3 linked regions of the Schizosaccharomyces pombe genome follow. The gene in region 1 interacts genetically with each later gene. Each region holds a gene or a part of one and is shown in the gene's direction. Other genes may lie near its edges.

Region 1 (11,437 bases):
CTTCATCTAATCGCACAGGGTCACCATTTGTCCATTCGACCAATTCTGGTGTTTCCGTTCTGTATAACAGTTTGATGGCACGACTATAGTTACTGAAACCGTTGATAGTGCGATACAAAGTTTGAGTTCTCAGAGAGGCCCAAATTCTTGTTCTCAAAGTATACTCCGGAGTCGCAGATTTAAATCCAACACAATAGAAAGGAAGGTCATATGCTTTATTTACTCCATTTTTTTCATTGTCGATACTGCCAATAACAGAATCATTTTCATCAGCAAGTAATTTTGTATCATCAACAAAATTTCTCCACTCCACAGGATATAGCTGCTTCAAGTACTCTAATAGAGTTACGCGAGAAAGTTGATCTTCCTCGCGAATAATCTCTCTTAAAGATAACAAAATTTTCTCAGAATAGTGAGGAACCAAAACAGTGAAGGTAGGCATGGCATCAATGGAACTAGTCTTGGGTATTGATTCAGCCAAGGATTGTGCGAAAAAGGAGATTCTTCGAGCAGCTTCTGAATTAGCCGGAAACAAATCTTGCTTATAATGCTTAACCTGTTGGGAGTAGAAAAAGTTGGGAGCTCTAAGAGTATGATAGCCTGCCTTTTCAGAAGGTACTTGATGGTACAACAACTCCTGAATTTGGGTACGGGAAATCAAATGCTCCCTGTACATCGAGATAATAATGGCATTCCAAACTTGAGAAATAAGTACTTTTGGCTTGAAGACAATCTCCATGTCATCGGTATACAACAGTTTTGTATATATTCTTCTGGGAACGCGGTAAAACAATTCTCTCCAAGGAGTCCACACACTGATACCCAGGCAAAAAGCATAAGCCAAAGAATAGATAGTGCTGATAAGAATGTACCATAGATAAGTATCAAGGAAAAACAGAGAAAGATCAGTTAAATACAGTAAACTCAAGAGAATTTTAGGCTGAGCCTTGCATAGTCCAGCTCCTAAAATGTAATCACGGCAGTCATAAGGTCGCATAGCACCCAAAAATCTGATAGAATCTGCCAAATTCAAAGTTAAAAAGAAATAAGATTCCAAGAATTTGGCCACCAAAACTGTAATCCAAAGACACCAAGAAACGAAAGCACCTGTTTTTGAGGTCGGAGTGAAATTGGCGGTGAAAAATCTGTTAGCAAGGTTTTTTCCAGACCTTTTTGTGGTGAAACCAACCAAATTTCGTAACGGCGTAATCGAATAGTAAACTACACAGACCAACGAGAAAAAGAAATGCACAATTCCTACAACCAATCGAGAAGCATAATGCTGCTCTTTCGTAGACGAAGCAAATATGAAAACAACAGGTGCGATGTTTAGAAGTAGCGTACTTATCAATAACAGCATACTCGGCCACAACCTTCTGGCAGAATGATAACGACGAGGAACATGTATATATTCGAAAACCACAGCTGCCAAGGTGATAAAAGAAGCTATAGCACCAGCTAAACCACAAGCTGTCCAACGACAAGAAGCAGGAGGTTTATTATTCAAGCGGATGTGATAATTTTTGGTGTACAAATTTGGGGAATTATAAGCCGAATAATACCAGTAAGCAGATATATGCATTACCCAAATACGTGAGAAATTGGTAACGTTATGGAACCAAGAACGATACTCGTAATAGGACTTATAAAAACATGATTTCCATTCAACATCGGAAAGATGTCGATATCGCATAAACGGTGGTAAATCTAACAACGGAGTTTTATCAGCACACATGATTTCCTGAAGGCCCTTGTAGGACCAAAACAATTGATTAATATCATCATAGCCAATGATTTGAGAATGATCTCTTTCTCGTCTGACGTATTTGCCGTCCAAAATTTCAAACAGCTGTGCATGAATAAATCGATAAATAGGGGTGATAACCGAGTCTAAATAAAATTCCTTGGGCAAAGCAGCATCGACATCTTTAGCTTCCGAAGAGATATAATAATCATAAGCACATTCAAATATAAAACAAAGACACTCGGGAACAAAACGAACATTGTTAGCTTCACCCCAGCAAAGAAAATAAAGGCACACCTGCACCATCATGCGATGGGGTGAAAATGCTGCCATTTGATCTCTCCATGCCTGTTCAGCTTCTTTCAAAGTCATTGTTTCGACAATTGGGGAAGACATATCGTGAAATCCAATGGCATGACCGTCATTAAAATGAGAAGCAAAGTACCACTTTGAAAAATTTGCATGTTCACCACCAATGACATCGGCATGGATAGTAAGCAGTGCCGAGGAAGGAGACATACGAGATGCCCGAGAATCTAAAAGAACCATAACATAATCAAAAATGTTACGCATGTTATCTTTTTGAAAACCAAGTTTATTTGTAAGGTCCAACAAGATCTCTTGAACACCTTCCATAGTAACAGGAGCCTCTTCACCAGCTTGATTCCAAGCCGGATAAGCAACTGAACTGGAATCGACATTAAATGAAGAGCTATCATAATCAGAATGTAATGCATCACGAGAAGAGTTTTTATCGTAAATCATACGGGTCAGAGAGCTCATAGTATCATCGTCAGAGACATAACTATTGGCATCATCTTCAAAGAGTCCACGACCCTCTTGTTCACGCCAATACTGATCCATGATGAATAAATAGACTCAAAAGAAGGAGAGAGGACAAATTTTAATGCTTAAATTAAGAAGAATTGAAAGAAAGAAAAGTTGGAATTTGTGAGAAAGAATGCTAGCAAATGAGGAACGATGTTCAAAAGAAAGAAATAAATTTAAGAGACCTTGAAAAAAAGATTAAAAAGAAAGAAGTTAAGCCTTGGAAAATGGGGGCAAAAGAGTAGAAGAGAAAAAAATTTGTGCTGATTGAAATGAAAAAAGTAAAAGACTTTTTCAAATCCTAAAAAGAAGAAAAAAGGGTGATATATGTATGCCGGATGAGAGAAGACGGCGGAAAAAGCTCTAAAAGTAGGAAAAAGGGTGGGATCACGAAGTGAAAGAGTAGTTAAGATATCGGAGGTTCAAAAGGGAATGAACGGAACCTAAAAATACAGTATGCAAATTATAAAAAAAGAGGCGAAAAAAAAGAAGAAATAATTATAAAAACAACAATAATAATACCATAAAACAGCAAGCACCAAAAGAAGTACTTACAAATGCACACCTAGGAAACTGACCAAATTTTTAAAAAAGCGATTCAAGGAAGGACGTTTTTTTAAAAGAAAAGGAGAAAATATAAAATCGCTTTCCACATAAACTTTAGATTGAACAATTAAATTGTCGTATGCAGAAGCTTATTTACAATCTCTCAAAGCGAAAAAAAAGTAAATGGAGATGGGAAAATGGAAGGAAAAGAGAAGCGAAAGGGTAAGAGGAACCCGGGACAAACGCCAAACGTCCACACAAACACAATGCTACGACAAAAGGTGATCTTGCACACACCGAAAACTTAGCAGTGATGGAGCAACTAACGTAAAGATAATATCACACAAGAAAACTTGGCAAATGTTAAGATGGAGTCAACCTTTTTGTATGGAGGCTAATAGGAAAAAAGAGAGGAAAAAGAAAAGAAGGAACCAATGATAGATATATAAGAAGGAAGAAAAAATTAATTCCGTGCAACAGAATCAAAAATTTGACGTTAAAAAGGATAATTTACTCTAATTAATCAATATATTTTCAAAAATTTTAGAGTAATTCCACTAAGAGAACGGTGAAAATAGCCAAAACCCACCAGTTCCTAGTTTGTTGTCTGCAAGTTGTACTCATTCCGGTTCTTTCAAAACTAACAGCGAAATGGGGAAGGGTAGTGCACATTATTGAGGCCTATTTTAGTGTAAGCAATTTAGAGGCTGGCGTGGTAGGAGGCTCAGGTTACTCACCAACGAGGCACAAGGAGGCTTAAAAAACCATCCCCATACAAAGCAAAGCCATAGCCGGTCAAACAAAGAAAGAATTTATAAGCAGCTACTGTGTAGCATCTTATCAATCGTTATACCCAGCTACCGTTTTAGATGGATACTTTTAACCAAACTAAGGACGCTATATTTGAATTGGAAAAGAAGTAAACAAACTACAAAAAGTCAAGAAAGTGTAGCTGAAACCATAATTCAGTTACAGTGAACATAAGCGACGAGTGTTCTTTTTTTTTGGAATTGTTAAACTAATTTCTAATATGTGATTGTCTACATGGGTGGTAAACAATAGTAAAAATAATACAAAGCTAGAAGGTACCGAATCCCAATTAGCAAAGGTATGATTATTACAGTATAGAGCTTATGAAGAGAACTAGGCATTGGGCTTTTTTCGCAAATCCCGAAAATTGGGAAAATCATAGACGCACAATGTCTGGGTATTGAATGCGTGGGAAAAGTACGGATTTGAATGCTAACAAATCTGGTTAGGATCTAAAGAAGATGAAAAGACAACCGAGTACGAATTTAAAAGCAATTGGTTAATCCAAAGGAAGAAACAATGTGCCGGCATTGGAAAAGGTTTCCATTCCATATTCTGGTTAAGACTTGGATTGGGCAATTTCCCTTACGAATACCCCAAAAACAAACACATCCTGTAAATATTTTTATCTATCAATCGACTATTACAGCGATATTCTTTTAAATCTTTGATGACTATTTAGTTGTCACACTTAAACAACTTCTTACAATCATTTGACTACAACTATTTCTATTGTCGCACCTTCTGCTCTTTTCATTTTCTCCATTTCATTAATTCCTATATTTTCTACTTCTCTAGTTTGTTTTACTTCTTTACACTACCTTATTAGATAAATAATCTAGCACCCTAGCCTTTCTTATCATCTTAACCCCCTGTAGCGAGACTTTTTTCGTCCGGTACCTTACAGGGCTTGGGTGGGCTTTATAGAAAGGCTCAGTACATTTACCACGAGATTTTGAAAAGGATAAATCCAGCGTTTTTTCCTACAAACTATACGTTCCTGATACGCTGTATACGCTTCTTTTTCATCCAAATTTCACATTTTTTATATTTTGGTTCAAGTCTGGGGTTGATTTAAGAAAAATTTTTTTCCGTACTGCCTATTCAGTGTTTCTATTTATATTCAAAGGTGAAATTTTTTGTCTCCGCAAACTTTACATTGCCGTTATTGTCGCTTTGTTTACATTTTGAAAGTCTCAAATTGAATATTTTGAATTTCATCCTTGGCTTTTTTTTATTTGGTTTCCATTTATTTTGGTGATCGGCTTCCTTATTTTTTTTTGCACATTTAGTATTGGGTTAGACTTCAAGTCATAGGAGCCGATTGAATGATATCCTAATATTTGCCTGCTTTTTTAAAATTCTTCCAAAGTTATCTCTTTTTTCTACATTAAAAGGTTTTTTCATTCGTCTACCCAAAACGTTAACGACATTTTCCTTGTATTCTTATCCCTTTAGATTATATCCCATTTTGGTACCCATTACTGTTTTGCTGCATTTCAAGTCAAGCTGATACATTCAAGTGAATCTAGCGGATAATCATATTTTGTATTTCAACCTTTAAGTTTTGCACTTCCTTGCATGCGTCTTTGCCTTCCCTTAATTTTGATTTTTATTACACTGTCAATAATCACGAAACAAGAATATAAGAATAGTCGAAACTCTCACTTTCTTTGCGCCCTTTTTTCCTTCTCCCTTTTCTCCTAATTTTTATTTCTAGACTTCACTGAATTTCCTCGGTTGATTTAGTCAATTGGTTTAATTTTTAATCCTTTTTTTGTTGTTTTTTTACTATTTTGGTTCTTAATTGTCGCTCTTTTTCTACTTCTTATTTATATTATTACCTAAATATTTGGACTCTAACTATGGATATTAATCCTCCTCCTAGTACTGCTCCTTCATCTCCTCGCCGTTCTGTATGTGCTACATAGTGGTTTGGTTCCATTCATACACCCCTTTTCTCCTCGCTAACGTACCATTTAGATACAGCGTATTTCCGATGCAAAAAATAAGGCTCTTACTTTTAATCGTCGACGACTTGGCTTGATAAAAAAAGCACATGAACTCTCCGTTTTGTGTGATGCTAAAGTGGTGGTCATGATTTTTGATTCTAAAAATGCTTGTCACGTTGTATGTTTCATATTTCCCGTTTTTCTGATCCTTTTCTGTCATATCCTTTCAATGTAAAGTGAATACATTATAGGGAAGGTGATGAAGGTCAACAACCAGAAAACGTGGCAATGTTTTTACAAGTTTTTAATATTAACATACACCTCTTTAGTATTCTTCTGAGGAACCGGAAGAGCAAAGAGATGCCTTGCTGCAAAAATTCCTGAACAAGGACTTTGTCACGGTTGACCCTCTGGTAAGTCACTTATCAGCAATCATTATGCTTGTCCTGTATTCTGTTTACTAACATAATCCCTTGGGGAGAAAGAGAAACATAAATCCTAATATACCATCTGATGAATCCCTTCATAATTGGAGACCTAAAGATAAGCGGATTGCTTCTGTTACCACATACAGTGCTCAACCTTCTAATAATTGCTCTTCTGCTACCGACAGTGAAAATGACTTTCAATCTTTCACGATCAAATCCTCTACCACGTACCATACTACTCCAACTACTGCAAGCGAGAACAAGAAAATAGAGTCGATTACCATACCGGACCATGCGTCGGTTTATAATGACCTTCCTCTTTCTCCAACAGTCAAACATTCTTTTGTCTCTCCAGTTTCTGGAGATTACTCTGACTCACCTTTAGAACCGTCTTCTTCATCGTCTTTTTCTGTTCCTCCTGAATCGTTGAATCCTACACTGTCTTTTCAACATAATGATGTTCCGCAAACCGATAATTTTATCCCTTTCCTTACTCCTAAGCGTCAAGCATATGGACAATCATCTTCCCGAGCTGATCGTAGCTCTGTTCGTCGCAGCCAATCTTTTAAAAATCGTCGTAATGGAAAACCGCGAATATCCAGGCTGCATACTTCTCATGCTTCTATTGACGGGCTAACTGATTTTATTCAAAGTCCTTCTTCTGGTTATTTGGATCCCAGCTCAACACCTATAACACCTTTGGACTCTGCTATAAATCAAATTACGCCTCCTTTTCTTCCCGATAATTTGGGTCAAGAAAACCGTGGAGAATTATATTCTCACGATAATCCTACTTCTATGGTATATGAACATCCAAAATTTGATGAATTGCCCAACGGATTTATTGATACTCATGAGTTGAACATACTAAGTCGCTCATTTACAGCATCTCCTAACCAAATTCTTCGCGAATCGAATATGGTTAATCAAGACTCTTTTACCGACAATCCAGTTGATGCAACTTGGGATGCTTTAATTGGTACAACGCAAATTGATTTAGATTTAGATTATGAGAGGTCATCAATACCCTCATCCACTATTCCTGCTGATCAACTGAAAGACGGCGTCCCCACAAATTCGGTATATCGAAATAACATGGTTGATCATAATTTATATCCGTCTTTAAATATTGAACGAAATGCCCCTTAATATGTCCTTAGATTTCTTCAATCTTTGTAAATAATAATAATAACATTTTTTTTTACCGTTGATACTGAAATGAGTATTAATATTAAATTTATGAATAATGTTTTATTTTCGAGTAAATCTTTGATTTATTCCAATTTCGTTAGTAATAGAATCAATCAAGTAAACAGTGGCTTGATCGTTCATAACAGAACACATTTTTCTCATAAAACCCAATGAATGCTTATTCCATGTCCAGCCTTTATCAAGGTGCGATAAGAGAAGACTTCGAGCCAAAGATGTGTGCTTATTTTTTGAAAGTAAAGAAAGAGTAAGTAAAACAACCTTTTGTTCGTATGATGCGTCCTCTTTTGGTAGCAATTTGTGTATTTTACAATGCCAATATTCTTGCCAAGCAGCATACCCAAATTCAAAATCGTTAAACAATAATGCTAACTTTATAGCATATATATAAGTCAATGTAATCTTAGCAACTTTCATTGAGGAACCTTCCATTGTCGACATTTCTCGAAATTCTAATTGATAAATTTCCTTGAATAATTGCACGCTTCCACGCTCAAGAAAAATGTTTAAAAAATCAGTTACTAAGCGAGAGTTCAGAGCTTCAGGAAATTTCCTTTTCGCGTATTCAAAAGTATAAATAGCATTGAGGAACAAGTCATTCTCAGTTAAAGTTGATCTTTTAAGGAAAGGTATAAGTGGCTCTTTGGAACTATCTATAATTTTCCTGACCTCCTCTTTAAAGTGAGTGTAATCAGGGGTTACAGAAGAAGTTTGAACTTCAGCTGAAATTAAAGCCCGAAAAATGAAATGAAAAATTTGTTCAACTTTGAGTATCGAGGGCAGTAATTTTTGCCTCACCCAGAAATTATCCAAGATGTCTTTCATATAGTCAAGTTTACCACTATAAGCAATTAAACGTATTAACTCATAAAGTGTAGAATGATTTGGACGTAAACCATAATGCGAAAGATCCTGAAGCAATGAAAAAGCGACTGTTTGAAAACGAACATCGGTAGCTAAAGCATGAATTAAATTATTAATAACGAACGTTGTAGGGGTTAATGGATCAATTGGTCTTAATTTCATCTCATTGTATAAGTCAAGTGCCTTTTCTGGATTATACTGAGAAGAACATATTTGAATCATAAGACCGTATGTTTCAGCCGACGGAGAGATGCTAGTTGCTGTAAATTTCATAAAATTGAAAACTTCCCACGCCTTTGTAAATTCTTTGGTTCGAGAAAATGCCTTGATACAGGCATTTAAGAAATCCTTTGATGGGGTGATTGAGACTGATTTTTGTTCTGAATAGAGTGCAACTAAATCCTTGTGTTTACCAAGGGAAGAAAGTGCAATAGCATATGATTGATACACCAAACCATTCGGAGGAGCATTTGATTTTTGATACAAATGATACAATTGGACAGTCTTACGGAAATCGCCAGATGCGTTGGTGGATTCCATAAGCAAGACAAGCAAATCAGGCATAACTTTCATACCACTTTCTTCAACAGCTTTCCAAATTTCTAGGGAACTTTTTGAAATAACAGTTTGAGGAAGATAGTTAAAAAAGTTGACTATTTCTACAATATCAACCCCTAAAAAGCATTTAGGAATGTTTAAGAGATGGCGAAGATGACTGTTCCATTCTTCGGTAGAAACCTGACGATTTAACAACGTATTGTCATTAGCTAGATTTGAAACAATATGATCGACTGAATAATTATTGCTGGCTGTGTTCTTAGATTTCAATAGCCCGATTCTCGTAAGTAGAAGTGGTCCAATTTTCAATGGAGTTGTTCTCCTCAATTCGTGGTTACCTGTAGATAAATGATTTTCTTTTTCCTTATCATAAGAGTTAACTTCTGATATAAATTTAGTCCAAACTTCATCAGGAATGTTAAGGGGAGACTATGCTAACGTTAGTAAACAAGACAGTATCTTTTAGCAGTGTTATTTTGTACTCAAACCCTTTATTTAATAAATATTTTACCTTTTTGTTTATGTCATTTAGCTTAACATCCTTTAACTTTTGTTCGTATTCACGTATTTTCAGATCTAATTCTTTCTGTGCCAACTTCCAAGATGCCTCATTTGTTGAGCATCTAGCTTGTATATTATTGTTCAGGAGATTTTTAGCAATATTAATGTTATTAGGGTTATCTTTATGATAATGTAAACGTCGGCAAGGACCACAAAATCTTCTAACAGCTAAAAGTGTTAAAGAGCCAGAACATTTGTTTAGCATAAGGTACAGTAGCTTCTGAAATCTCAAAAATTAAAGATGTTTGATCTTTTTTCCTGATAAAGTAGTCAATAATATATAGATATTAATACCTGGATTGAAACGTATATTTTGTGGATGGAAAGTTAAGTGGGTATTAAACGCTTTGATAATGATCTCGTATTTTCATTCCTCAAAAGAAATTTAATTGCTAATATTTTAAACTTTTACTTCTGGTTATACTACTATAAGAATGGATTATACAAACTTAAGGAAGAGGTGTGGAAAAATTTTACTCACAATGAGCTTAATATCTAATAAAATTGTAACTGATTTAAGAGTGTAACCGTATACTGGGCTATTAGATAACAAAATGCAATCGTTATATATATTAAGCCTTACTCAGATTTAAATGCTTACTACATCTTTACTTTCAAAGCCACATACATGAAAGTGGAAACGCCGACATAAGTGCAGCCGATGTGATATTCAAACCACATAAAAAAGGAAAGTAGTACATTATATAAGCAGGTTTAAAGCTGTTTTTATTAAACTAAAACCTACTCTGAATAAAGTGAGATTTAAACTGTTGACACAATTTAAAATAAATAGTCAGTTGTACAAAAAAGCAACCAAATAGTGACCAAAAGTCCCACTTGCTAAATCTAGTGAATAAATAAAACAATGAAGACATATTCAATAGAAATTGATTTGATGTCGAAGAACAGGAATACTTTTTAAAACAAAACAAAAACAAGAAGACCATTATTTTTACTCATAGCTTTTGAAACCAAACAAAAAAACGAGGGACAAATAAATAAACAAAGTGGGTATTTAATTGCAAACCAAAGGCTTGCAAATATCGAAAAACACAGGGAAATACAGAGGTAAGGCTTATGATCAACAATATCGGGATTTACATTTGTAGTAAAGCACAGATTGAGCTTGAAAAATGTAACTTCCTAAGATAACAGGACAATGTCATCATTCAAATAAGCAAACATATTATTTTTGGAAAAATCTGAAGCTCGCACAATCCTAACGTTTTCTTCGAGGACAACGCCTCCGTGGCTTTGGCGAACGTCAAGGACTCGGGTTTGAATTTCATTAAGTAAGGCTTGACTTCGTGATCGTTCCACTGGGGAAACAATAATTGGGTTTGTTATTTCAATGTTTCTAGCACGATATAATTGTACTTTGATGACTAGCATGTATTGTACAGAGTAAAGATCAGAGGTGGTCGTGAATCCAGTGATATTTGCATCTTCAAAATCAATGTCGGGGAAAGGTTTAGAAAGGCTTTTCGATAAACCTTCCGATGTAAGTTTCATATCATCCAAATCTTCTTCGTAACGTAATACTTTCTTTTTACGAACTATTGGGCTTGAAGAAGAGGGATGTATGAACGTGATGTATTCAACCAAGGAAAGAGAAAGTTGCTGTACTCGTATTTTAGAACCATTATTAGGCATGATGGAAACGAAGACGGAGACGAGATCCGAAGGTCCAATACACAGTTTGGGTATTGATACCTCTACTACAACACGACCATCGCTACTCACTTGCCGAATATTAGTAGGGGAATTATACATCCCCCAAGAAGATAGATTATCATACCTGCTGAGTGACACTGGTACAGTGGTAGTAATATCCGGTACCCCTAGTAAACTCATGTGAGCACGTAGTTCATATTTCGTGGAGCATATTGTACCAGACCGATTCAATTCAAAAGTCGATGGAATTTCTGAATTTTCGG
Region 2 (11,628 bases), on another chromosome or scaffold:
TTTTTCTGCCTGTTGAGCACACATCTTATGAATGTCATTGTAGCTGTAATAAAGACGAACGGGATCCATAATAACTTAAGAACAAAATGAAACAACCAAAAAATGAAGGGAACGATAAAGGTGTAAACGTGAACGGGGGAAATACGTTCTTTTGATATTTATGTACTTTTGACAATTTAAGCGTTCCTTAAGGTAATCTCGTTAAATTACTGATAGGAAAAAGTCACTAACCCTACCCTCTATGGTGGTTAGTTAGGGATATTCTAACACCGACCAGACGGTGTCTAGCAAAGAATATGATGTTTAAAACGATTTCAGTTATCTATGAAGGCCATTACATATGTAAATGTTCTTTATATTGATTTTCTAGATGTTTAATACTTTTCAAAACCCATCATTTCGTTGTTAAAAATATATTAAAAGGTATATCAGCTAGCATGTCTGATAAGATTTATTATATGTATATAATGCTTTAGGTTTCAATTTTACTGTTTACTTTTTGTATAATTATAGCAAAATTAATATAGCTCAATTTTTGCCTGGGCAATTAACTGCGGTACATTACTCAAATGTACTCGTAACAAGAAAGGTTTTGGATTATTCAGTGCCGTTTGAAGAACCGATGCAGTCAGTCATCACATAGGTGTCTCATCCGAAGCCTCGTAGTTCTGGGAAGGATTAGACGCATTACCTAAAAAACGGTACAAGGGGGATTGTACAAGTAGATAGTGCAGCGAATTTGTAAATATCTAATCACTTGTAACCAGCCAAAAAGTAGATAACGCAGCATACGTAGTAAATATCGAGACACATGCTTACTTCAATCTTACACTAACTGGTGATTTTTAGATATGGTGGAGACCATGAGTTATTGATAAATGAACTATTTATTTGTCATTTGAGAATGAAAAGAAGGAAATATAATGAACAGGATGATTGAGAATGTTCTTATTCTTTTTGTTTTATTAATAATCATGTATATATATATATATATATATAAAAATTTTTTTAAAAGAAAACCCTCTGACATCAGGCTTTCATTCAAAACATTAACAATGCTGCTATGTTGACAGTATAATTATGAAAAGCTCTTCAACATCACTAGATTTTCCTTTTAGAAAGAGTTTTATTTTCGAAGCATTTCTTTTTTGTATGCATTCACTCATAATATTAAAATTACTTGATATATTTAGCTTATTACTAGCGAAATCTGGGGAGAGAGAATGCTCGTTTATGAACGAAGATCATAAAACATTGTAAGTTTTGAGAACAAACCACTGCTATAAACAACAAATAGAAAGACCTTTTTAATATATTTTATGGCGTTTAATCAAATTATTAAGCAAACCCAGTAATAGCTAAAAATAGTTGAAACATCTAGGATCATTTTCAATTCCTTATTTATTTACTTCTAAACAGCCGTTCGGCCAAGTTTCTGTGAGCTACAAGAAATGATGGTATCTTTCAATAAACAATGATTGGCGTTGCATAAAGCAAGCGTATGAATGGAATATTGAGCTATTAAAAATAATATAAATATGCAATTTCAAACGTTTTCGGCTTTTAAAAGTGGAACGTGGCACATTTAATCAACGTAAATCATTTTTTTTTTACCTATAGAAGTTTACCCAAAAATTGATACCAAGTATTAGCTTTATTAACTAATTACTTTTGGTAAAGCGGTAGAACCTATTCGACGAAATATCAATCAAATTACCAAGTACGATCTTGTCGCTCACTCATTACCCAAAAAATCATAGAAAGGACGATCCAAATATGTGTGCATATTGCTTATAATTAACTCGTTTATTACTGCGATACTCTGTAATTCGTTGTATCTGATTACGAATAATAATAGTCACTTTTACGATATCAATTATTATCAGATAAATATTTTCGATCGCAAAATTTGATCTTCTAACTATTTTGACTAATTTGTGCGTTTATTCTTAACACCGAATTGAAAGAAAATTTCAAAAGGTAGTCTTTGTTAGTTCCTTTTGTGGTAAACGCGATTAGTGGCCAGTCACTTACAAAACTTTGTTAAAGCAGACTAATAGTAGTCAACGTGTGATTTTATTTTTTCTTCACCGCTTACTTCTCAAAAGCCTCCTTTTTAATTTACTATCAAAAACGGCAGTTTTGGCAGTTTTTTGAAGGTTTATTGGTTTAATTAATTTATTCTGTAAAAACAAGGAAAGCAAAATTACAGATATTTGATTCTTTAGATTTTCTTAAACCCTCTCGCATCTTCGTCTTATTTTGGCTTTTTTTTTTGTTAAATATAGCAAGTTTGCGCCTCTTTTATTTAAATTCATTTTTAAAAAGCCACCTTTCATTCTAAATTTACCTTATTCCTTTTTCTCCCTGTGAAATTCAACCCTTACCATTTTTTTGAAATTGGTGACTTTTCGTTTTCAAACTATGTTCGACCTCGCAAGACAAACTCGGATTATCCTTTTATTAGGTATTGATGTTACTTTTTTCTTCATCGAAATTATTACTGGTTATGCGATCGATTCACTTGCCCTAATTGCTGATTCATTTCATATGTTAAATGACATTGTCAGTTTACTGGTCGCTCTCTGGGCTACTCGTCTAGCACATTCAACATCTCACGAACCAAAATACACATATGGCTGGCAACGTGCAGAGATTTTAGGTGCTTTGTCGAACGGTGTATTTCTCATTGCCCTTTGCATGTTCATTTTTATGGAAGCCATAGAGCGCTTCATTGAGCCTCCTTCTGTCAGCAATCCCACCCTTATGTTCTTTGTTGGTTCTTTAGGTCTGCTAAGCAATTTCGTTGGTATCTTTTTATTTCATGACCATGGTCATGATCATCCTCACACCCATACCGCTCAAAATTACGATTTTCCTGAAGAAGATGATATTGAATCCGTTTTACCTTCGACTATCGTTCATCGTTGTAATACCAGTCAACAAGAAGTCAGCCATACACACACTCAAGTCGCAGACTCTGCTACCGAATCTTCTCCTTTATTGAGTTACACTGGTAATCATAATGGTGCTGGTACTTCAAAGCCAGTCAACAACCATGGCAGTATTGAACAAGATGCACCAAAACAAACGAAGAAACGAAATTTGAATATGCATGGTGTCTTTCTTCATGTCTTGGGTGATGCTCTCGGTAATATTGGTGTTATTAGTGCTGCTTTATTCATCAAGTATACTGACTATTCTTGGCGTTTCCTCTTTGACCCATGCATTAGTATCCTTCTTACTTTCATTATTCTTTTTAGCGCAATTCCTCTCTGTAAATCCGCTGCTCTCATCTTATTACAAGTTGCTCCTCAAAGCATCAAACTGGATGATGTTTCCAACCTAATTAATCATCTAGACGGCGTGGAATCTGTTCATGAACTCCACATCTGGCAGCTTTCGGACGTTAAATTAATTGCCACTGTTCATGTCTGCGTTACACTTCCTGATGATAAGGGAGAGTCTTATACAAAGCTTACTACGGATATCCGTAATGTCCTTCAATCTTTTGGTATATATGATGTTACCATTCAACCAGAATTCGCCAATCATCCGCTTTTATGTGACCAAGGTTCCTCGTCTTAGTTTGCGAACATTATAAATTTAACGTGGTTAATCTATTGTGTCACATCTTTTGATTTATTCTTGAGGTAAAATTTTATATTGAATGTTTACTTTGTTTCATTTTTAAAGCGTAATTTCTTCTGCCATTCCTGTTCGTATTTAAAAACTTTATTTCACCATCTTGGTTGTTTGTTTTGCGAATGCACTTAAGTAAAGTAGTCGACAACTTAACTTTGAAAGTAGATAGTTTTCGATTTCTTATTCTTGATGAAGACGATGCATAGTTTCGGTTTTATTAAATCTCTATTATTCTTAGAAAATAATGTTTAGATGTAGTGTTTAATTATTTAAAAGGAATATTTTTTAACAATTATATTGGGTTTGATTCTTCTCGTTAGTATTTTTTCTAAAGTATTCGTTGTAAGTGTAAAACACCATCCAATGTGGTATTTGTGTTCATGTCTTGATAAATCATTTGAACTTTGGCTATCAGCGTCAGTTCATGTAATGCGTTGACGAGTTTGTGCGCTTAGTTGCATTTGCCGTTTCCCAAATCATCACCTCCAAAATAAACGAGATCGTATTCCTAGTCATTTGATGGTTAAAGATCAAAATACATGGAACAAACACTAGCGATATTAAAAAATGGTACGTATCAATTTAATACATAACTCATTTTAACCAATGTTGTTAGACAACTCAACGTTAGTGGCCGAGATGCAGAATCAATTAGTCCATGATTTTTCCCCTAATGGTACCGCACTCCCCGAGCTTGATATAAAGGCATTCGTTCAAAAGTTGGGTCAAAGACTGTGTCATCGTCCTTATGTTTATAGCGCTTTCATGGATGTTGTGAAGGCTTTACACAATGAAATGTATATATGGCTTATTTACTGAGTTGCTTTGAGATAGCTCTTTTTTTATTACTATTCACTTATTAACATGAACATTAGTGTCGATTTTCCCGGGTTTATTGAAAGAATATCTGTAATCTTAAGAGATTACCCAGATCTTTTAGAATATTTGAACATCTTTTTGCCCTCGTCTTATAAATACCTTTTATCGAATAGCGGTGCCAACTTCACATTGCAATTTACCACCCCATCTGGTCCAGTTTCTACACCGTCTACTTATGTAGCTACTTACAACGACTTACCTTGTACCTATCATAGAGCTATAGGATTTGTTTCACGAGTTCGACGAGCATTATTGAGCAATCCCGAACAGTTCTTTAAATTACAGGATAGTCTTCGTAAGTTTAAAAACTCTGAGTGTTCGCTTTCTGAGCTTCAGACTATTGTAACGTCTTTGCTAGCGGAGCATCCATCTTTAGCCCACGAGTTTCACAACTTTTTACCAAGCTCCATCTTTTTTGGGAGTAAACCTCCTCTAGGATCGTTTCCATTAAGAGGAATTCAGAGTTCCCAATTTACGTTGAGTAATATTTCTGATTTGCTTAGTCAATCAAGGCCGGACAACCTCTCACCATTTTCACATTTATCAAATGAGAGCAGTGACTTTTTCAAAAATGTGAAAAATGTACTTACCGATGTAGAAACTTACCACGAATTTTTAAAACTCCTGAATTTGTACGTTCAAGGGATAATTGATAGAAATATTCTGGTGAGTCGTGGGTTTGGGTTTCTTAAATCGAATTCGGGACTTTGGAGAAGCTTTTTAAGCCTTACTAGTTTGAGTCCGGAAGAGTTTTTATCTGTATACAATTCCGCTTGCTCAGACTTCCCGGAATGTGGCCCGAGTTACCGATTGCTTCCTGTCGAAGAACGCAATATTTCTTGCAGCGGTAGAGATGATTTTGCATGGGGTATACTTAATGATGACTGGGTCAGTCATCCAACTTGGGCATCTGAAGAAAGCGGTTTCATTGTTCAGAGGAAAACGCCTTATGAAGAGGCAATGACAAAGTTGGAAGAGGAACGTTATGAATTTGATCGGCATATTGAAGCTACTTCCTGGACAATCAAGTCTCTTAAAAAAATTCAGAACCGTATAAATGAATTGCCGGAAGAGGAAAGAGAAACATATACTCTCGAGGAAGGGCTAGGTTTACCATCAAAAAGTATATACAAGAAAACTATTAAGCTTGTTTATACCAGTGAGCATGCAGAGGAAATGTTTAAGGCCTTGGAAAGAATGCCTTGCCTCACATTACCATTGGTAATCAGCAGATTAGAAGAAAAAAACGAAGAGTGGAAGTCTGTTAAAAGAAGTCTTCAACCTGGATGGCGAAGTATTGAGTTTAAAAATTACGATAAGAGCTTAGATTCACAATGCGTTTATTTTAAGGCAAGAGATAAGAAGAATGTATCTTCAAAGTTTCTCTTAGCAGAAGCCGACATTCTACGATCGCAAGCGAAGCTCCATTTTCCTTTGCGAAGTAGATCAGCTTTCGAATTTTCTTTTGTATATGACAACGAAATAGTACTTTTTGATACTTGTTATATGGTATGCACATACATTGTATGTAACTCTCCCTCTGGTTTAAAGAAAGTTGAGCATTTTTTCAAGAATATATTGCCTTTACATTTTGGTCTTGAAAAGGATAAATTTTCGATATTCCTGGATCAAGTTTTTCGTGGTCCTGATTACGATGTGAATGCCCCGAATATAGTTGGTAACAAGCCTGTACGTCGGAAAAGATCTAATTCTATAACCCAGTTGACGGAATTTGTAAAACAACCTAAAATCAATGGTCAACGCGAAAGTCGTTCAGCTGCAGCTGCTCGCAAAAAAGAAGAATCCGGTAACAAATCACAATCTAACTCTCAAAACTCTTTAAGTGATGAATCTGGAAACGTAACGCCGGTTTCTAAGAAACAGCTTTCACAACCTGCTGCAGCCATTAAAGCCAGTCTCAAATATCCAAGTCATCCAGATAGTCTTTTGGAACATCAAGATCATGCTGGTGATACGGAGAATGAAATGCATGACGACGTCGATAAAGAACAGTTTGGATATTCTTCTATGTACGTATTTTTTAGACTTTTTAACTTATTATACGAAAGGCTTTATGAGCTTCAGCGTTTGGAGGATCAAGTGTCCATTATCCAACAGCGTATAATACCAAACCCAGTATCTCAAAAACAAAAGATTTGGCGCGATAGGTGGAATGATCTTTCAGATGTCCCTGATGAAAAAACTCATTACGAAAATACTTATGTGATGATTCTTCGATTAATATATGGGATAGTTGATCAAAGTGCCTTCGAGGACTATCTGCGGTTTTATTATGGCAATAAAGCCTATAAAATATATACTATTGATAAACTCGTTTGGTCTGCTGCTAAACAAGTCCACCACATCGTTTCCGATGGAAAATACAAATTCGTTACTAGTTTAGTCGAACAAAATAGTTCTGCTTCGCCTAAGAAGAATTATGATGACTTTCTTTATCGCTTGGAAATTGAAAAGCTTTTGAATCCTGATGAAATTTTGTTTCGATTTTGTTGGATAAACAAATTTAAATCATTTGGAATCAAAATAATGAAGCGAGCGAATCTTATTGTGGATCAAAGTTTGGATACACAGAGACGAGTTTGGAAAAAATATGTTCAAAATTATCGTATACAAAAACTTACTGAAGAAATATCTTATAAAAATTATCGTTGTCCCTTTCTTTGCAGAAATATAGAGAAAGAAAGAACAGTTGAGCAATTGGTTTCACGCCTTCAAACAAAGTTATTAAGATCTGCAGAATTGGTTTCCGGATTGCAAGCAAAATTATGTTTAGACTCGTTTAAATTGCTCTACTTACCACGCACAGAAGATTCTTACATAGATGCATCTTACCTGCGCCTTAGAGATACCGACTTCCTTGATTGCCAGAATAAAAGAAAACAGCGTTGGAGAAATCGATGGGAATCGTTATTAAAATCGGTTAGGGGAACTTCTGACAACACGGCAGAGGTGAATTTTGATGCTGACATTAATGCACTATTTATCCCATAATGATTTTAATGCAGTCGACCTACCTATTGATCATATTTACTTAAATACAATTTGACTTTAATAGTTTTATATTACTTTGTTAACATAACTTATCTTTCTAGGTATTTTATAATTTCAAGGATTTATGTATAGTACGAATTTACTGAAATTTTTGCACATAAGCTTTGTATTAAATTTTCTAAAGCCGTACTTCTGTAATTACTACATAAAATATTACAATGCACAGATTTTTATTTACAAACAAGCGGTTGTCGTAGCAACCACTTTGTTTACCCTCAAAAGTTACCACCTGCGTTTTGTTAGAAACAAATACCAAATGGCGAGTGTTGCAATTAAAGAGCCCAAAACTGCTATAACCCCGAAGAAGAAGTCCAAAGCCTCTCGTCTTTGCTTTACTCCGCCAACTAATCTTCATAATAATAAAAAAAATATATTCTACACTCGCTACGATTGCATTGGTGAAGGCGGCTTTGCGAGATGTTTTCGAGTCAAAGATAATTATGGAAATATTTACGCTGCTAAAGTTATTGCTAAAAGGTCACTACAAAATGATAAAACAAAGCTGAAGCTCTTTGGAGAAATAAAGGTGCACCAATCCATGAGTCATCCAAACATCGTAGGATTTATAGATTGTTTTGAAGATTCGACGAATATTTACTTAATTTTGGAGCTTTGTGAACATAAATCTTTAATGGAACTTTTACGTAAGCGAAAACAATTAACTGAGCCAGAGGTTCGGTATTTAATGATGCAAATTTTGGGAGCTTTGAAATATATGCATAAAAAGAGAGTCATTCATAGAGATTTAAAGCTTGGAAATATTATGCTTGATGAGAGTAACAATGTAAAAATTGGTGATTTTGGGCTTGCCGCGCTTTTAATGGATGACGAAGAACGTAAAATGACTATCTGTGGTACACCGAACTACATCGCACCTGAAATTTTGTTCAATTCAAAAGAAGGACATTCATTTGAAGTTGATCTTTGGAGTGCTGGAGTAGTCATGTATGCCCTCTTGATTGGAAAGCCACCCTTCCAGGATAAAGAGGTAAAGACAATTTATAGGAAGATAAAAGCCAACTCATATAGTTTTCCTTCAAATGTCGACATATCTGCAGAAGCAAAAGATTTAATTTCTTCTCTTCTGACACATGATCCAAGCATTCGTCCCAGTATTGACGATATTGTTGACCATGAATTCTTTCACACTGGCTATATGGCTTCTACACTTCCAGATGAAATTTTACATTCAATGCCTATATGGCCTTCTTCCCAATCAAAATCAAGCTTTCAGAGAAACCTGGACTTCGTTGCCTCTGCTTCCGGAGTAGGCTTTGGAAATTCAGCAGGTGTAGAAAAGAATAAACCTTATGCACTTCGAACAGATGAAGTTGATAATGATCGAATATTACCAAGTGTTTTAAGTCCAAGGGACCGTGTCAACCCTGTTATGAAAATAGGACCGGAAACCAAACCTGTACCATCAAAGCTCTCTACAGCCCTCCATGCAGCTCGTAAATCCACTGATGGAAGTTTAGGCTCAAGAGTTAAAGTTTTGAGAGAAGAATCACAATCATTTGTTCCAACTAAGAGCGCTGTCACTGAACAAGTTGAACCTATTCAATTAATTCGGTCTTTATCTGCAAATACAGTTTCAAGACTTTCTAAGGTTGGAAATATGAAATCAGACATTTGGATCAGCGTAAAGAAGACAGCTCTTAAAATCGGGATGGCATTGGAAGCACATACACACGCTTTAACTTCAGAGGATGCTGACTCTGAGCCCGTTCTTTTTATTACAAAGTGGGTTGATTATTCCAACAAATATGGTTTAGGATACCAGCTATCCGATGAATCGGTTGGCGTACACTTTAATGATGATACATCCTTGCTTTTTTCAGCTGATGAGGAGGTTGTCGAGTATGCTTTACATCCTAAAGATACAGAAATTAAGCCATATATTTATCCTGCTTCCAAAGTTCCTGAATCTATAAGAAGTAAACTTCAGCTTTTAAAGCACTTTAAAAGCTATATGGGACAAAATCTTTCGAAGGCTGTGCAGGATGAGAGTTTTGAAAAACCCAAAAACTCAACTTCCAATACCATGCTTTTCATGCAGCATTATCTTCGTACGCGTCAAGCTATAATGTTTAGATTAAGTAACGGAATTTTTCAGTTCAATTTCCTGGATCATCGAAAAGTTGTTATTTCCTCTACCGCACGGAAGATCATTGTATTAGATAAAGAGCGAGAGAGAGTGGAATTGCCTTTGCAAGAAGCATCCGCATTTTCAGAAGACTTGAGATCTCGCTTAAAGTATATTCGCGAGACGTTGGAATCGTGGGCGTCGAAAATGGAAGTGAGTTAATAATACCGTTAATCTATACTTGGGCGTTAAGTTACTATGCTGTCTATTTTTCCATATTTCACATCCTCATTTTTGTACTATTCATCCATTCAATTCAGTTTTATGTTAATGTTTTACTAATTCTTTTTTTATTATTTCTTTCCCTCAGATACATCTTTTAAACGCAGGAGCTCTTGACGAATAAGTTATAAACTTAAATTATAGCTGCAAATATCAGCTTAATCCCTTTTCAAAATTTTTTATTTTTTGCTTTTAAATTGATCGCTGCAAATTCTGTCTTAAGGCGACACTTATTTATCTAATCAAAAGGATTCACAAATCTCAATGTTCCAAGTGTTATCCAAAATGTTAGACTAGTCACAGCTATGTTAATTGATTTTTATTCTCTCGCTGTAACTGAAATCCTTTTCACAGATTAGATACATGTTTTGCTAATTATGTCAGTAAAATGTGTACAGTTGAGTTCAATCTGCTGCATATTAAGAATCACAGACTTTGTAACACCAAATTAAATTAATTAATAGTAGCATTATTTATTGTTTACAAGGCATTAATTTATACTTCACTAAGTATATCAAAAGAGCAATAGTACTGGTTTTTACTAGCAACTGTCACGTTGAATCCAAATAGCAGGAACATTTTTATAATAAATAGGCTGATGCGATAAAAGAACTGTTTGCTTTTAAAGTACTTATAAACTAATTCCAGCAATACATAATTAGTAAATAAAATGCTTTCTCTACCTACGCTATGCTATGTTAATAGCGATTGAGGAAATTACCTAACGGACAATACACTAATTAGTTTAACGAATATGAAGCTTTGCGTAGCATGCGTTAAATCTCTTTACTATTTCATAAACAAGCCGAGTCAAATTGATGAAGTATCCAAGAACGCATATCCAATTCCCCAGTATGCTTCGGAATCGTTTGTTTAAAACCCCACATCAGACTGGTAAGGATATTAATGCTTTTTCAAATTGCTCTTCAATTTGTACTAACGTTTTGTAGGCTTTCAATGGAGGTTAGGCGCTCCGGCGACGGGAATTACAATCAGGAACCAACCTATTAGAAGCTATTCAGGTCTGCGAGGAAATTTTTTGATTGATAAAAGACTCTCTCCTGTCAAATTTAATAAATATAGTCCATCAGATATAGTATTCTATAATATCGGCTCTTCAAGACTTTACTCTACAGAAACTCCTACTCCTTCTAAAGTTAAGGAAGCCCCGAAACAGGTTGCTGCGGAAGAGACTAAGCCAACTACTGTGGTTAAAAAACCGTCAATATGGCAAAGGGTTAAAGGCGGTGTATTACATTTCTGGGATGGTACTAAACTTCTTGGTGTCGAGATTAAGATTTCTTCAAAACTGGTTTATAAGATGGCTGTCGGTTACGAACTTACTCGTCGTGAAAGTCGTCAACTTACCAGAACTTTAAAGGATATTGGAAGACTTGTTCCATTCTCAGTGTTTGTTGTTGTGCCGTTTGCCGAATTATTGTTGCCCATTGCAGTCAAGCTGTTTCCCAATTTGCTTCCTAGTACATTTGAAGATGCAAAGGATAAGGAGGCTAAGAAAGCACAACTTCGAAAGACTAGAAATGAAGTATCCAACATGCTACGAAGCACCTTAAAATCGGGAAAATTTACTTTCTCCAACGAGACTCGTGAATCTAAAGAGTTCAGAGATTTTTTTCAAAAGGTGCGTACTAGTGGTCAATCCC
Region 3 (5,164 bases), 780 kb from region 1:
AATAAATATTCATTGTTCTTAGAATCATAGTAGCCCAACGGACCTTTTTCACAATCAGCACAAGCAAGTAATTTATAATTATTTGCTAAGGGTTTTGATACGCTAACGTTGTCGAAAGCAAACGGATCTTTTAGAAGAAAAAAATCGTCAGTTTCTAGATCTTCTTGTGTTTCAGAATGCAGCATAGCTGACATTGTTGGCCTCTTAACAACATCTGGACGTTTGTTATTAAATACGACTGAAGGGCAATGTTGACAAACAATTCGCAAATTCGACATAATTTAGGAAAACAATATGGTGGTAGTTAGTTAGTAGTAAGCGCCAATCAGCGTTTTTTGTGGATATAACCTATTAAAAAAATAAAAATACAAGAGAAAACTTTTAAAAGTTTAAATGCTAATTACAAGTTCTTCAAATTTAATTCAATACATGTAGCATTCATTTCCAAAATAGGTACTGACGTGTCTAGTGCAATGAAGATATGGAAAACAATGTTTTGCATTTTGACGATAGAAGCAAATCAATAATTAGACGCTGAAAACTTCTTTTTTTTTGACATGCTATTTGGTTTCATAAATTAACATGGCCTGGTTTTCACTATATTTAAACTTCACCACATAATTAGTAAGTTATTATAAAAGAAAACGCAAAAAATTTTTATTTGCTCGTCTAATGTGTTCTTGAATATTGTCTTTCTCTTAATGTTAAACGAGACATATCAGTTCGCCTGATGCATTGGTTCATATAGTAGTTATTTTCAAATTTAGAAATTCGGACACATAATTCTTCTATCCTTCTATGTTAAATACAGAACCTTTTTCTTTCTACTCAATTTGCTTTCCGTGTTGCAACCTTGACACATACTAAAACTTTGTACACAGTGGTTTTTGAACTTTCTTCTAGTAACTAAAATTTTAGAAGTACGGCATTGAAAGAAATATTGTAATCAAACTTTGAATGTGTGCAGACTGCAAAATTGGGAAATTAGCTTGGCACTTGCAATTTTCAATGTAAATGTGTAGGAATCGTGTGCCATCCCTTCAATTGTCTAATATTTTAATTGAAATCTATAGAACTACGCTATTTTTGCTCGAATTATTGCTACTATGATTACTTTGTCTAAATCCTTAATAAAAAGAAGTATTCTTGATTAGCTCCGTGAACTTCTCGATTCAGTTATGTGACAAAGAATATTATTAGCTTCCAAATATTGAAATATTATTATTTTATTAACTAAATGAGTTTCTAAGCCAAGTCAATTTATCAATCATCGTTATTGTTATTGTTGAAATAATACAAAAAATATAACGCATGCTATTGATTCTTAACCAAATGTATTAATCACCTAAAATTTGTCAACCACTAACTGATATGATTAGACTAAGCTCAACTTCAACTTATACTCTCTTTATAGCAATATTTAAGTTGCATGAACATCCGACGTTATTAAATATTTTAGTATGAAGATAATATTATAGCTATTCACTAAAAAAATATTTCATAACTGAAACTAGTGCCTCATTTCATTTAAATTTCTAATTATAGGACCTCAAAAAATAAAACAACGTTTTACTGTATGGTTAATACTATGGAACCAGAAATGTGTCAAATTAAGGGCATACTTAATGAAGGAGGATAATTGGCAGCTTAACGTATCATAACGTATACCCTTATTACTGTTAGTAAAATACTCACAACCCAACATCGTAATCGATTTTTCGGCTCTATGACATATTGTCACTAAAATAGAGGATCCGCTTTCACGAGGTGGAGATTTCTATCTCATCTCGTACACTCATATTTTGGCAAACGTCCAAAATTGGAGCAATTCGGAGCATTTGATACGAAAGGATATTTGACACGATTGTGTATCACTATTACAAATCTTAATATTTTTATGCAATATTAGTATCTCGTTGTGCATTTCTCTCGTTTCTGACAGCATCCAGTATTGAGTTTGTATCTTTTGCTTCCTATACTGTAATACCTATTTCTATAATTATTTCTGTCTTAGACTTAAGACTTTATTTTTGGTTGTAAAGGATTGTGAATTTAGAGCACCACACTTTCTTTCTTTCTTTTTTTTGTGCTTCGGAATCGTGCCTTGTCGTAACACTAGTGCGAGAATCCAAGGTCGGACAATTTTTTTTTTGTCCTTTGAGTACTATTATTATTAATTCTTTTCAAATCTTTGAATTTTGCAAAATACTTCATTCTTTTTGGTCCGCATACTGACAATCTATGTTTGTGTAAGTCCGGAGTATAGTAGTATTCACTATTACTATTATTTTCCCTTAATTGGTTTTCTCTTTTAATCATTATTATTATTGGCATTGCCATTATCTAACGGTGCTTTAATTTTTGTTTTATTATTCAATTTGTCTGAACATCTTCCTCATGAATTTTAATTCTACTAACCCTTATTATTTTACTCATGAAAAAAACCTTAACAATGCTTCTAAGTACTCTGAACTCCCAATTGCTTATCAGGAAATTCCTTTGCAATCTTTACCACCTTATCCCAAGGTTGCTTCAAAGTTGAAGGGCGTAGTTGCAGGCGGAAAAGAAAATAACATTGCATCTTTTCAAAAACCTTCTTCAAAAGCCACTCGACCATATATACCTTCTTATACTAGATTGACTTATTCTGTTCCTCCTCTTCCCATACCTCCTCCTTCGGAGCAATCTTTGGATACTATTATATATCGAAACCCTTCTGTATCTTCTTCTCAGTCTCAAGAACCGGAGGAGTTTTTCTTACCCCTAGATGATGGAAAGAAACCTCCTTATTCCTATGCTATGTTAATTGGAATGTCAATAATCCGTTCTCCCGATCGTCGTCTCACTTTAAGTGCTATATATGATTGGATCAGCAATACTTTTTCTTTCTATAATAAGTCCAATAACGGTTGGCAAAATTCCATCCGCCATAATTTAAGTCTAAATAAGGCATTCATGAAAATTGAACGTCCTAGAAATTTACCGGGGAAGGGTCATTTTTGGAGCATTCGTCCTGGTCATGAAGAACAATTTCTAAAACTAAAGCTGCGTAAACCAGGAGTAAATTCAAGACCAGCGCCTCCTGTTCAAGACGTTACCTCCTCTACAAAATATGGATCTTCTACCGGTTCCTCTGGATTTAACACGTTTAATACTTCTCCCCATATATTTAATCAGCGACATCAATATCTTCAGAATTATTATACTGCATCCTTAACGAACATTCCGACGATCTCTAATGTTAATGCCACAAATTTTCATCCTCTTCATAGTCAACAACCCTATGTAGATACCCCTGGTATCGATGCACCTTCTGATTTGGAAGCTAAGTTTTCCGATTTGGGTGTTTCCTCTGTCGTATCTGTAACTTCTCCTTTACAATCATGTACAAATTCTCCATCTCCTCCTTTGTCATCACCAGCATCCAGTGCTTCTCCATCTGAATCACTTAGGAATGAATCTTTGGGAATAAAGTCAGCTAAATCATTGGGTTTGAATAAAGATGATGCACCAGTAGAAGGTCCACCTGTATCACATTTGGAGAAGGATGTTGAAACCCCTTCAGTTCATGATTCCGTGTTGGGTTTTAATGACACTGTAACGAATCTCGGCAAGAAAGGTTTAAAAGATGGTACAACTAATACCCTACAGATCCCTGCAGTCCGTTTACCTTCTTTACCTAGCTCGCCTACCATAAAAAATCCCAGTGGACTTTTGCTAAAGCGATCAAATTCTATTGATTTTCCAACCCCCCCGAAGGCCTTGTGTCCTAAATTGTTTTGCTTTCGTGATGACATCGTGGCTGATGACTACACTAAGTTTTCTTTACTTTCACCCATCCGTTCTGATATGAGTGGTATCTCAGCAAGTCCGAATACAAATTTGAAGGAGCATCGAACTCGTATCTTGCAAATGCTGGCTACACCTGATGCAAAGCAATTATCATCTTTAACATCATCTGATGCAGAGTTTTGGTCAGTCACGCCTTTGAAGTCTTCAATTCTACGTAATGGAGATGCATCTAAACAAGTAACGCTATCTGAAAGTCCTAAAGGTGATAGCTTACTTGATGGAGGATCATTATCTTATTTTACCAATAACATTAGTTCCGTTGCCGGCTTAGAAACACCAAGCAAGCTACCCATGAGCAAGTCGTTTGATACCTTTGAAGATGATTTTTTGGATCCCATGGATATGTTGAGTTTTGAAAATCACTTTTCCGACTTTAATAGCAATCGAAAAGTGTCTCCTGTTAAACGTGAGGTGCGTAGAAAATATATTTCTTCAGCAACTACTATTCATTCTTCAGCCGCGCAAGATGATACTTACTTGCCTTCTCCTACCAAGAGGAAAATGCCACTTCTTCGTCAAACTTCAACACTATTCTAAATTTGTTTTAGCACTTATCTACTTTTTATCCATGCTTTATTTAATGTGATATTTCTTCGTTCTAGTTAAAGACTGCTATGGGAATTCCTAATTTTACACATATCTTTTACCTTGGTTGCTTAATAAACTTTCAAACCCCCGATGTTACTTGTTCATTTGCGTGCGCAATTTTTTTAAATTTACGAAAGCTTTTAATTTATATCCGGCGAATTGTTCTCCCAGTTGCATATCTAATAGTCACATTAGCAATATAAAGCTTTATGAATATTTCGTAAACATAGTATACGCTTATAGCGTTTAGAAGTTTATCTCTTGTGTTATGTAAGAGTTGTAGATTAAACGTAATTTTATTTGTGGTAACCTATCTAAAACTTATATGACAAGTATTAGTTCCAAAACCCAATTTATTTATTTTATATATTTTTGTAACAAGTAGCCAATAAAGGTTTAATTTCCAAAATCTTTTATTTTGTCAAAACACACATTTTTCTAAAATTATTCCCCAACCGCAATAAATATACCTTTTTTAGTTTGCAGGAGAATCGACTACAGGGGTGAATATGTCAAAAGAACCGGTGCCAAAGTTACCGACTCGACCAACGACTAACCGAGATGAAGGATTGGATAAGTCATCAACATCACCACGGAGGGCGGCCTCAGTCAAAAAGTGACAAGTGGTCTCAAAAGACATTTTCGCAAATGGAGAAGTGTTATATTCTATTCCCATTCTATTGAAGGCTTTGTATCCTCCCTCGAAAGTCATATAATCTGCAAT

The links.
Region 2: of mbx1 (region 1) and plo1, a mutation in one rescues a mutant of the other (synthetic rescue), as found in Schizosaccharomyces pombe (one study listed by BioGRID).
Region 3: of mbx1 (region 1) and sep1, changing one enhances a phenotype caused by changing the other (phenotypic enhancement), as found in Schizosaccharomyces pombe (2 studies listed by BioGRID, with this or other methods).

Annotation. Positions count from the first base shown.
Region 1 is NC_003423.3:2,353,636-2,365,072, forward strand, and holds mbx1 (DNA-binding transcription factor, MADS-box Mbx1), read left to right. Parts: upstream 1-4,863; 5' UTR 4,864-5,793; coding exon 5,794-5,844; exon of another isoform or gene 5,845-5,911; coding exon 5,912-6,058; exon of another isoform or gene 6,059-6,209; coding exon 6,210-6,293; exon of another isoform or gene 6,294-6,365; coding exon 6,366-7,457; 3' UTR 7,458-7,521; downstream 7,522-11,437. Other genes in the region: primary septum and spore wall linear 1,3-beta-glucan synthase catalytic subunit Bgs1, read right to left, coding at 1-2,608; PPR repeat-containing protein Ppr3, read right to left, coding at 7,560-9,368, 9,451-9,705; arrestin-related substrate adaptor for RhoGEF, Art1, read right to left, coding at 10,644-11,437.
Region 2 is NC_003424.3:2,156,388-2,168,015, forward strand, and holds plo1 (Polo kinase Plo1), read left to right. Parts: upstream 1-7,843; 5' UTR 7,844-7,852; coding exon 7,853-9,904; 3' UTR 9,905-10,378; downstream 10,379-11,628. Other genes in the region: hpt1 (xanthine phosphoribosyltransferase), read right to left, coding at 1-69; ER zinc importer, CDF family, Zhf1, read left to right, coding at 2,425-3,588; Clr6 histone deacetylase complex subunit Pst2, read left to right, coding at 4,185-4,215, 4,262-4,442, 4,521-7,536; putative potassium ion transporter Mdm28, read left to right, coding at 10,819-10,858, 10,915-11,628.
Region 3 is NC_003423.3:3,132,720-3,137,883, reverse strand, and holds sep1 (DNA-binding forkhead transcription factor Sep1), read left to right. Parts: upstream 1-1,779; 5' UTR 1,780-2,397; coding exon 2,398-4,389; 3' UTR 4,390-4,664; downstream 4,665-5,164. Other genes in the region: dss4 (guanyl-nucleotide exchange factor), read right to left, coding at 1-278; DNA-directed RNA polymerase I complex large subunit Nuc1, read right to left, coding at 4,916-5,164. UniProt on the Schizosaccharomyces pombe protein: Required for promoter sequence element PCB-driven, M-phase-specific transcription. Acts as a transcriptional activator with a role in the regulation of mitosis. Regulates septation and the periodic transcription of cdc15.